Diceros bicornis minor: one gene and its partners. The protein of the gene in region 1 interacts with the protein of each later gene in a biochemical or structural test. Links are inferred from orthologs where the notes say so. Each region holds a gene or a part of one and is shown in the gene's direction. Other genes may lie near its edges. The genes, in order: BMPR2, BMP2 and GDF2.

The links.
Region 2: the proteins of BMPR2 (region 1) and BMP2 form a complex in vitro, tested with the Homo sapiens proteins (4 studies listed by BioGRID and IntAct, with this or other methods). The link is inferred for Diceros bicornis minor from reciprocal best matches to the Homo sapiens genes BMPR2 and BMP2.
Region 3: the proteins of BMPR2 (region 1) and GDF2 form a complex in vitro, tested with the Homo sapiens proteins (2 studies listed by BioGRID). The link is inferred for Diceros bicornis minor from reciprocal best matches to the Homo sapiens genes BMPR2 and GDF2.

The regions. Positions count from the first base shown.
Region 1 is NC_080749.1:80,181,303-80,185,049, forward strand, and holds the start of BMPR2 (bone morphogenetic protein receptor type-2), read left to right. Parts: upstream 1-1,373; 5' UTR 1,374-1,388; coding exon 1,389-1,527; intron 1,528-3,747. UniProt on the Homo sapiens protein: On ligand binding, forms a receptor complex consisting of two type II and two type I transmembrane serine/threonine kinases.
Region 2 is NC_080758.1:34,645,220-34,648,966, forward strand, and holds the start of BMP2 (bone morphogenetic protein 2), read left to right. Parts: upstream 1-1,486; 5' UTR 1,487-2,399; intron 2,400-3,570; 5' UTR 3,571-3,577; coding exon 3,578-3,747. UniProt on the Homo sapiens protein: Growth factor of the TGF-beta superfamily that plays essential roles in many developmental processes, including cardiogenesis, neurogenesis, and osteogenesis. Induces cartilage and bone formation.
Region 3 is NC_080745.1:11,555,963-11,559,709, reverse strand, and holds the start of GDF2 (growth/differentiation factor 2), read left to right. Parts: upstream 1-1,031; coding exon 1,032-1,377; intron 1,378-3,747. UniProt on the Homo sapiens protein: Potent circulating inhibitor of angiogenesis. Signals through the type I activin receptor ACVRL1 but not other Alks. Signaling through SMAD1 in endothelial cells requires TGF-beta coreceptor endoglin/ENG.

The DNA.
Region 1 (3,747 bases):
TATCCATTAATCAGTTGATAGACATTTAGGTTGTTTACACTTTTTTTGTGTGTGTGTGAGGAAGATCAGCCCTGAGCTAACATCCGATGCCAATCCTCCTCTTTTTTTTTTGCTAAGGAAGATTGGCCCTGAGCTAACATCTGTGCCTATCTTCCTCTACTTTATTTGGGATCCCGCCACAGCATGGCTTGACAAGGGGTGTGTCGGTGCCCACCCGGGATCTGAACCTGCAAACCCTGGGCCGCTGAAGCGGAGCATGCGCACGTAACTGCTTGCACCACCGGGCCAGCCCCTGTTTACGCTTTTTGACTATTATGATTAATATGGTTATGAATATTCATGTACAAGTTTTTGTGTGAAGATATGTTTTTATATCTCTTGGGTATATACGTAGGATTGGAATTGCTGGATCATATTGGTTGAGTTGTAAGACTTTTTATATTCTGGATACTAGTCTTTTGAGCTATACAATTTGTAAATTTTTTTCTGTGAATTGTTTTTTACTTTCTGAATGGTGTATTTTGAAGCATAAAAGTTTTTAATATTGATGAAATCCAAATTACATATTTTTCCTTTTGTTATTGTGCCTTTTTGGTGTCATACCTAAGACACTATTACCTAGTCCAAGGTCACAAATATATATACATATGTTTTCTTCTGAGAGTTTTATAGCTTTAGCTTTTACGTTTAGAGTCTCTGATGTATTTGGAGTTAATTTTTGTATATGGTGTGAAGTGGGAGATCCAGCTTCATTCCTTTGAACGTGGATATCCAGTTGTGCATGAATATCCACTTCAGTCACTTGTTGGGCGTGGGGAGCCCCAGCACAGTTGGCTGCAAGATCTATTAGCACATTCCTGTTGCAGTTTTTCTGTTAAGTGAGTAGGCCCCCAGCGTGGCTGGTTGCGTCTCAGGGGCTTATAATTGCTATGGGCCTCCTGCCTGCGAGGCTGTTGTCAGCCCTCTCAGGAGTACAGCTGGGTGGGGCTGACCAGAGGCATGGGAGCACGCAATGGTTTCACGCTTTGGAAGGTGGGGCCAATTCCCTATATGGCTGTTTGAGAAGCACAAGTCTGCTGCAGCTGACAAGCCCCACCACCTGCAGGCCCACACACCCCGTCGACACAGTCCTGCCCCGTGCACACACCCTGATCCACTGAAGCAGACCCACTTGCCCCACTGCAGAGACCCCACACACTCTGCCCACACAGGCCTGCCCCTTGCACACTCCTTGCCTGCCTGAGGTGGGCCCACAAGTTGCCCAAGGGCTTGCTGTTGGGTGGGTCCAGTCCCTAGGGGGGGCTGCCTGGCCTGGCTGTGTTGGATTAAATCAGTGCTCTAGTGAGTGGGGCAGACCCCTGCACTAAGAGGCCAGAGGAAGAACTCCAATGGCATCTGCCAGCGTCTGTGTCAGCACGCCTGTACTAGGTTACAGTAGTGGCTGCCGCCAATGTCTCAGTCCCTGGGGAGGTGGTCGCAGCCTGCGGAGGTCTCACCTCTCACCAAGATGCGCCCAGAGCCTATCAAGTGAGTCTCTTTTCACCAAAGGACTGTGCACCTTTCTGGTGATTTTAGGTTGCTTTCTGAAATGGATGAATTTGTGTGTGGGCCCTTTAAGGGCAGCGTTTTTTTTCCCCTTATGTCGGATAGCTTTTCTCAGGGTATTCCCCATTGTTGTTAATACCAGCAAAGCCAGATATTATGACATTTGTCTTGGTTGTGCTGAGTCCAAAAGCTGCTTATAGTGGCAAAGCTCTCCTGCTCAGACACCCCCCTTCTCCAGGAATGGCTTCGTACCTTAAGATTGCTCCCAGCTGGCTGTGAAGTGCTGGGCTAGCAGATGGCTTTTTCCTCTCCAGAAAGGAATTTCTGCCTCTTCCACCTCAGTGAGCACTGTCCCTTGTTGTGGGGGTTCTTTTTATCCGGTTTTCGGTTCTTTCTTAGGGGTCACTGTTCCAAGAGGAGTTGTAAATTTGTTTTGTCCGTGGCAGGAAGTGAGTTCAGAGTCCCCCTACGCTGCCATCATGACCTGAATCCTCAGCCACTTGTTGGAAGGGCTAACTTATTTCCCCTTTGAGTTGTCTTGGCACCCTTCTCAAAAATCAATTGACCATACATGTAAGAGTTCACTTTTGAACTCTTAATTCTCTTTCACTGATATATATGCCTGTGTTTATGCCAGTACCACACTGTCGTGATTACTGTTGCTTTGTAGTAGGTTTTGAAATTGAGAAATGTGAGTCCTCCAACTTTGTTCTTTTTCAAGATTGTTTTGCCATTCTGAATCCGTTGCATTTCCATATGAATTTAGAAGCAGCTTATCAATTCTGGAAGAAAGGCACTGATATTTGATAGGGATTGCATTGTTATGTAGATCAGTTTGAGGAGTATTGCTATTTTAACAGTATTAAGCCTTCCAATCAGTGAGCATGGATATCTTTCTGATTATTTAGCTCTTCAGTGTCTTTCAATGATATTTTGTAGTTTTCAGTGTACAAATCATGCATTCTTTTGTTAAATTTATTCCTAATTTATTCTTTTTGGTGCTATTGTAAATGGAATTGTTTTCTTAATTTCACTTTTGGATTGTTCATTGCTAGCATATAGAAATTCAGTTGATTTTTGTATATTGATCTTGTATTCAGCAACCTTGCTGAACTCATTTATTAGCTCTAATTCCTTAGTATTTTCTATGTACAAGACCATGTCACTTGCAAATAAAGATAGTTTTACTTCTTCCTTTCTAATTTGGATGCCTTTTATTTCTTTTTTCTTTTTCTTTCTTTCCTTTGTTTCTTTTGGCCTAGAATCTCAGGTATAATGTTGAATGGAAGTGGAGGAGCCAACATGTTTGTCTTGTTCCTGATCTTAGAGGGAAAGTTTTCAGTTTTTCACCATTAAGTATGGTGTTAGTTGTGGGTTTTTCATAGATGCCCTTTATAAGGTTAAGGAAGTTCCCTTCTCTTTCTAGTTTGTTGAGTGTTTTAATCATGAAAAGATGTTGTATACTTCTTAAGATATTAAATATACATTGAGTAGTATTTATATATTTTCCCACATATAAAATAATCATAGTACTAGTCGTTCAAACTATTCTCTCCTCATTTTCTCTCTTTTGCTCTGAAAGAAAAGCAGAGATGACAAAAACAGAGTTATTTACAATAAGTATCTTTTTGAAATTAAAAACACTATTCGATTACTGTAGAATAGTCATTAATTTACTTCATTTAAAAATTACAAAATATATCGAAAGTGGGATAATGGAAATGTTTTCTTGAGGAAGTCACAACTTATCTGGGTTAACCTCTCTTATAAAGGGGGTTACTCTAAGTGAACATTAAAACTATTATTTTCTTCAAATTTCAATGATTCTGTGACTTTACAGCTCAAATGTATTCTATAGTCCCCTTAACATGAAACCCTGTACCCATTAGCAGTTAATCTCTGTTCCCTTCCACACACACTTCCTTATCCCAGCTGTACTCATCTACCAATCTACTTTCTGTCTCTATATCTTCACTTTCTGAACATTTTATATAAATGGAACCATACAATTTGTGATCTTTTGTGACTGACCTCATGGTTCATACGTTATAGCGTATAACAGTACTTTCTTTTTTTTTTTGTTGGCAAAAAACACATAACATAAAATTCTCCCTCCCAACAATTTGCAGGTGTGCAACCACATGCACATTGTTGTGTAACGGGTCTCCAGAACCCCCCTATCTTGCATGACTGAAACTCTAA
Region 2 (3,747 bases), on another chromosome or scaffold:
AGGCTGAAGGTTCTGTGCAGGCAAACTTGATTTTGCTGATTTGGCTTTTTCAAAAAACCTTCTGCCCTTGGCTTCTGGGACCTTTTGGGTAACCCTGTCACGCTATGCATGGAGAATCCTGGAATCCTGGGGGGAACAGAAAGCCTTGGCCTCAAAACTCATGGTGTGGATTTGGGGAATATTTCAGCTGAGGAAGACAACTGACTTGACCACACGTCACAGACCTGCTGCTGGGGCCTGGTGGAAGGGGGTGGGGCTGAAGGTTCTAAGGTTTCAAACCGGAATTGTCTTTCTGCTTGGCTCCCACTGTGCATTATTTTACCTTCCTCTGAGCTGGGCCAGATAAATATCACAAGGCATGAAGAGATAGCTACCCTAAAAAGAAATAAAATCCCTCTCATCCTCTCTTCACGGTGCCACATACAGTCCACGTTGCGCAAGTCATGTATAGCAGGCTGACATCCATTTCACATATATAGACGTATATTTATAGAAATGTGTGCTATCGTTAGCATATATTTATATATTGGATATATTTCTAGAGACATACACGAGTATATTTGTATATTACATATATATTTATCTAAATATATGTGCATATTTAGATAAATATAAATGTATACATATATTTCTATAAATGTAAGTGCCTATACATACATTTGCATATGTAATGCATATATCTGTGTGTTAAAGTCTAAATAACATCCAGTTTCCAATCTCTAGTTTTCTTTTAATCCTCCTCCCACCCCGGGGAAACACAAAAGTGTCTACCCCAAGCCCATGTCAAGATGCCTTGTAACTTCGCTGAGTTATTTTTTTTTTTTCCCAATCGTCTATCACTGAAAACCTTCAAACTGAAAGCTGAATAACGGGCCGGTGAGGAAATAAAAGCTGGACCTCGTACTTTTCTGAAATTTCGCCCCTGGAGTCCCAGCGAGGGTCCGGCGCTCCAGTTTTTCTCCCCTTTGAGGGCAGGGGCTGGAGGCGCGAGCGCCCCCAACGGCGGCCGCGCGTCCCCGCCGCCGGCCCCACCCCGCCGCGGCTGCCCCGGCGCTCGGTCCACACCCCTGCGCGCCGCTCCCGCCCGCTCGGGGATCCCCGGCAAGCCGCGCCACCGAGGGGGAGGTGTTCGGCCTCGGCCGGGAGGGAGACGGCAGGCGGCGTCCCCTTTAAAAGCCGCGAGCGCCGCGCCACGGCGCCGCCGCCGCCGCCGCCGCCGCCGGAGTCCTCGCCCCGCCGCGCCGCGCTGCGCCCGGCTCGCGCTGCGCCCGCCGCTGTGCTTCCCACACCCCGCCGGGGACTGGCAGCCACCGCCGGACATCAGCCGCCACAGGCTCCGCCGCCGACCCCGACGACCTCGGGGCGAGCGCCTCGCGGATTACTGGGGGCTCCGAGGCACCCGCGCGCCGCAGACCCCGCGCGGGCTGGAGCGCCCGGCCGTGCGCGCCACTGCGCCGTCGCCTCGGCTGCCCGGGCCGCGCCAGAGCCCAGGACCGGCGCGCGGAGCGCCGGGGAGCCGGGAGCCGAGCCCGAGCGCCGCGATGCCGATCACCTCCTGCCGGAGCTCGGGGGCCTGGGACGCGCCGGCCGAAGTGTGATTGGACTCCAGGCTGGCCACAAAGGGCACAGCAGCTTGGCCTGGGGGCTAGGAGAGCGAGGGGAGAGCGCGGCCACCCGCCTCGGCGGCCTGGGACTCGGCTCGACTCGCCGGAGAATGCGCCCGAGGACGCCGGAGCGCCGGAGCCGCGGGGGCTTCAACTGGCTAGCGCTGATGGGGGAGCGCTGGAGTAAAGCAGAGTGATGCGGGGGGGCAGCTCGCCCGGCACCGAGATCGCCGCTGCGCCCTTCCCCGGACCCGGCGTCGCCCAGGATGGCTGCCCCGAGCCATGGGCCGCGGCAGAGCTAGCGCGGAGCGCCCGACCCTCGCCCCCCAAGTCCCGGAGCCGGCCCCGCGCGGGGCCACGCGTCCCCCGGGCGCTGCTGGTTCCTAAGGACAACGACCGCACCAGCTTTTCCTTTCTCCCTTCCCTTCCCTGCCCCGCACTCCTCCCCCTGCTCGCTGTTGTTGTGTGTCAGCACTTGGCTGGAGACTTCTTGAACTTGCAGGGAGAATAACTTGCGCTCCCCACTTTGCGCCGGTGCCTTTGCCCCTGCGGACGCAGCCTCGCCGCCTCCGAACCCCGCCGCCTCTCCACTCCTCCGCTGGGCCCGACCCCAAGACGCCGTTCCCTGCGTGAAGAAAGGGACTGCCCGGCCGGCACCCGGGAGGAGAAGGAGGAGGCAAAGGAAGGGAATCCTGTCCCTGCTCCAGGTCCTTCGGCCAGAGCTTTTTCCATGTGGAGGCTCTTTCAATGGACGTGTCCCCGCGTGCTTCTTAGACGGTCTGCGGTCTCCTAAAGGTAGAGGACGTGGGCCCGGGATAGGGACTGGGGGGGTGGTGGCGGAGCCCGTCCCGGGCCGGGCCTGGCCGGACGTAAACAGGCCCCCCTTCAGGTCCACGTGCAGCCGTGCCCCTGCGGGGATGCCCCTATCCTACCGCCCCCGGCGACCCGTCAGCCTCGCCCTCCTGGCTCGCACTCTTCCGCCCCTCCTCCCTCCCCTCTCTTCGGTACTTTATTAGGGCTGTTAACACTTAGATGATTAAAAAAAAAACAGTCAAAGAAATCCTTTCCAGAGGGTGGCCCTTGGATTTCACCCGTTAGCTGCCAACCTGTACGCCCTGCCATGGCGATTCCTTTTGCCTTCTTCAGTGTTCTGTGGGAGACCTGCTCTCTGCTCAGCGCCACGTACCATTTGGGAAAAGACTACAAGTTGGGGTTCTCCCTGTTTGTTTCCAGGAATGTGAGGGGGTCAGTACTTCAGTGCCACCTTGTTACTGACACGTGAATTAATAGATATTAGCCATTTACGTAATCCCAGGAAGATACATGTGTATCTTGACTGCATTAGGAGGGGTTCGGGGATAGAGTGGCCTGTCCTGACACCTCTGAGGTTAGAGGCGTGGGCCACAAGTTGCAAGTGGCTTCAAGTTGCAAGTGGCTTCGGAAGTTGTGGCCTTGAGTTTACTGGGTCTGGAAGTTATAGACTCTGTGTGTGTGTGTGTGTGTGTGTATCAGGAAGTTCTATACAGTGCCTCTGAGGAAGTCACATGCACCATTCGTGCGTGTTTATATGCAGGCGAGAGCTGGGCAGTGTGTGTTTGGGTTTGTTTAGGGGACAGTGGGGTGTCAGACCAAGCAGTGGTTTCCCCAGGTTCCCTTAACTGGCTGTCGGCGCGAATGTCACAGAATAAAGGGTGACAGTCATTGACTCGGGGGAAGGTGCAAATCATGTCAGACGGATTGAGAGTAGGATGGGAGAGGGAAGCCTTCTGGCTCAGGAACTAGGGGCCTTCCATTCTCCCAAACTTTCGGGCTGCAGCTCCTCTGAAGTATCCCCGGCGAGTGTTGCAAGCCAGGTGGGAACCCTGGAGGAGGAAGCAAGCGGACCGAGCGGGAGCCGGGGCCGCGGGGGCGGAAGGGGGGAGGGCTGGGCGGGGAACTCGGTGACTCACGTCGGCCCTGTCCGCAGGTCGACCATGGTGGCCGGGACCCACTGTCTTCTAGCGTTGCTGCTTCCCCAGGTCCTCCTGGGCGGCGCGGCCGGCCTCATTCCCGAGCTGGGCCGGAGGAAGTTCGCGGCATCGAGTGGCCGCTCCTCGTCCCAGCCCTCGGACGACGTCCTGAGCGAGTTCGAGTTGCGGTTGCT
Region 3 (3,747 bases), on another chromosome or scaffold:
GCCGCCCAGCTGACATGAGCAAGGACCCCCAACCCCACCCCACCCAGAGCAGTGACAGAGCTCTTCTGGGGTCCCCGGCCAGCAGGCCTCAGTGTGTGTTCCTAGAGAGCAGGCTGGGGAGGCGCAAGGCTCAGTCAGACCCGGGATGGAGAAGTGGCAGCCAGAATGCAGCAACCCAGCTGACTGGGGCTTGCAGTGACTGCCATGATGTTTAGCACAGAATCGTCTCAAATCCTTACAGCTCGCTTCTGAACTGGAGGCTCAAAGAAGGGACTTCCTCTAGGTCACACTTGTGACTGATAAGTGAGGGACCTGGGATTTGAACCCTTGACTCGTCTGACTCCAAAGTCTTCCTCACCTCACTAAATTATAGGTGCCACCCACCATCTCTAACGCTCAGGAACTTGCTTCAAGATGAGAAACCGAGGCACAGAGCGCTTGAGCCACACAGGCAGGCTCCAACCCCACAAAGACCAGGCCTCTTACTAACACTGTTGGGGTCCTCACCCCATCTGCCACCCCCACGGAGGTTTGCCAGGGGCTTCTGGGAGTTTTGTGTCATTATTTCTATATTTGGAGGACTTGCTGCTCTTGTTTGTTTCCTGGATTCTTCGTTTTGTGGTCCAGGAGATGGAGCATGTGTCACCCTGTCTCGAGATTCTTCTGAACAGAGCTGGCAAGGAAATAAGGAAGGATCCTAATTAGGGAGCAATAACCCCACGGCGAAACTCGGATTTTTTGCAGCAGGCCATGTCCTTCCCACAAGCCCTGAGTGTTTGTCAGATGTTTACAGAGCCTTCATTAAGGGAGAGCTCCCCTAGATAAGAGGTCAGAGCGCGGCATCGAGGGCCAGATAAGCACAAGTGGAGGACACTCCGGGACTGCCTTTGAGCGCCTGTGAACTGGCCGGGGGGCTCTGTGCAGAGCGGGGGGCAGGACGATGCGGGCCCGCTCCTCCCCCGCTCCTCCCCGCTTCCGCTAACACACTCGGCGCCCGCAGACCCCTGTCCAGGGCGAGAGCGGGTCCCAAGATGTGCTGCGGGGCGCTGTGGGTGGCCCTGCCCGTGCTCGCCCTGCTGGCCTGCTCCGTGCAGGGGAAGCCGCTGGAGAGCCGGGGGCGGGCGCCGGCTGCGGGAGATGCCCGCCGCTTGCTAGGGGGGCCGGGAGGTGAGCAGGAAGGGGGCACCTTCGACCTGAGGATGTTCCTGGAGAACATGAAGGTGGATTTCCTGCGCAGCCTCAACCTGAGCGGGGTCCCCTCCCAGGACAAAACCCGCGCGGATCCGCCGCAGTACATGATCGACCTGTACAACAGATACACCTCCGACAAGTCGTCCACGCCCGCCTCCAACATCGTGCGCAGCTTCAGCGTGGAAGGTAGAGCCGGCTCCACCAGGGCACCCCACGGGGGGGAGGGATGCCGTGGTCAACAGCTATGCTGCCCAATAAGGTGGCCACTGGACGCATGAGGCTCTTGAAGTTTCCATTTAAATTAATTAAATGAAATATAATTAATAACTTGGTTCTTTAGTGTCACCAGCTTGGACTCAGGTGCTCAGCAGTCCTGTGTGGCAGATGGCCGCCCTATAGGGCAGTGCAGATCGTAGAACGTTTCAGTCATCCCAGAGAGGTCTACTGGACAGCTCTGCTCTAGAAGATTCTCCCTCCCTGGGCCCAGTGCCACTTTTAACACAGTGTGTGCGGTGGGAATGCCAGCTCCCTTTCTTCTGTCCCTTCCCTTCCTCCCCCTTCCCTACTGTCCCCTTCCTACCTAGAAACAGACAACGTATTCAGCCTCCGACCATCTGGTATATTTTTAAGCTTTGAAAGAATGTCTATTTCTTTCTCATTGAAAGGTGTCTAAAATTCAGATAAATTCCTCTGAGAGAGAAACATTGGAAAACAACTTAATGATTTTCTAAATATAAAATGATTTTCCTGATTTAGGAGGACTAAAAGATAACAGACGTCGACTTAGGGCTTCTGTCCACTGATTCACACGACACAGGGGAAATGATGTTGTGAGCAGGGAGGCCGAGGCCTGCAGATGCCCAGGTCGCTTGCCCAGGTCATGTGTTGGTTGCCGGCTGGGTGCTGACCCAGGCCCACCTGTCTGCACAGCTCAGGCTTCTCTGGCTGCTGCGGTCTCCCTCGAAACAGCCAGCGCACAGGGCCTCTCCCCTCCTGGGCTGGAGCCCTGCAGACTCCTAGCAGGTCTTTCTCAGGGCCATGGCAGACGAGACCCACCCGGCCCGCAGAGCACATGCCCAGACTAAAAGACACCGTGGTCATGATGCACGCCCAGCCCTGTTGGAGTTTCTGATTGCCCAAAAGAGGGAGAAAAATCTGGATTTTATGGGAACTTGCCTGATTCTTAAAACCTTGGCTTAATTTTTTAAACAATGCAGTCTGCAGGTCACCTAGATGCTGCCAGCATCTCACCAGGCCCATAGGGCAGGTCTGTAACCTCTGCTTTAGGGGAAGGCTGGGCTTCTTTGGCTGAACCTAATCACCAAATCCTATAGCCTGGGAGTCCAGCGTTTGGAGCCTTCTCTATGCACCCTCCCCCACCCCCACCCCCGCCTTGTCCATGCCCCAGAAACAAGTACTCTGAGCCCATCCTGGCTCTGCCTGTGGCCAGTGCTCCTGGAGGCCAATTATGCTTCCCTTCCAGATGGTCCGGGTGCAGCTCAGGGAGGGGGGCAGTTGTTTTCTGGATGTCTGATGTGGCCCCACGGCCATTTTCAAGGCACCCCTGCACTGCTTATAGACCCTTCTCACTATTCACGTATGCCATGGCAGCTCAACAGGCTCTGCAGGAATCAGAATGGCGCATCCATGCTGTGTGTAAGGCCATGTGCTATGTGGGGGTGGCGTGCACAGGTTGGGAGGAGGGTCTGGGGAGGACACAGAAATATTGGTTGAGCATCTGCTGTGAGCCAGAGACAGTGCTGGGTAAATTGCATGTGTCATCCTGTCGAAGCCTCACATCAACGCGGGGAGGCAGGTAGGATGAGCCCCGTTCTGCAGATGAGGAAACTGAGGCAGACAGAGACTCAGGATTTCTCCAAGGTCACAAGCCTAGGAAGGGGCAGAGTCAGGACTGGCATCAGTCTGTCACGCACCACCGGCTTTCACAACGGCACACGTCTCCCCTCACGTTGGCGTACAGTCGGTGCTCAAAAAAACGCAACTTCTCTTCCCTGTTTGTGACCGAGCCATGGTGTAATAGAGACGTGCTAATGGCCATGTGTCAGCCAGGAGAGCTGGGAAACCGAGACAATCACGTGGCTAAAAGGCAAGCCTTGTTTTTGCCTAACGTGACAAGGTAGTTGAGGCTAATATATTTTTTCCCTCAAACATTAAAAAATCATCCACTTTCGATTTGCTTGGAAGTTACAATTCTGAATGATTTCTACACTATTTAGAGGCTGAGATTTTTAATATTGTCTTCACGTTGGAATTTTACCATCCCCTGCCAGGATCTCTCCTTTAAAATCATACCCTCAGGACCTGCACTCTGAGGCTGACAGTGTGCTTTGCTGTTTTGTTTATTTGGCTCTTCTTTTTTTTTTTTTAAGTGAGGATCTTTATAGGATGTGTGCATTTTGGCAGTTAAACACCCTAAATCTCAGCCTGCACATCTGTAAAAGTGGAATAATAATTAGATCTTCCCAGGGTCACTATGAAGAGTAAAGTGAAATATAGTATGCAAAGCTCCTGGTACGATTCTGGGCATACAGTAGA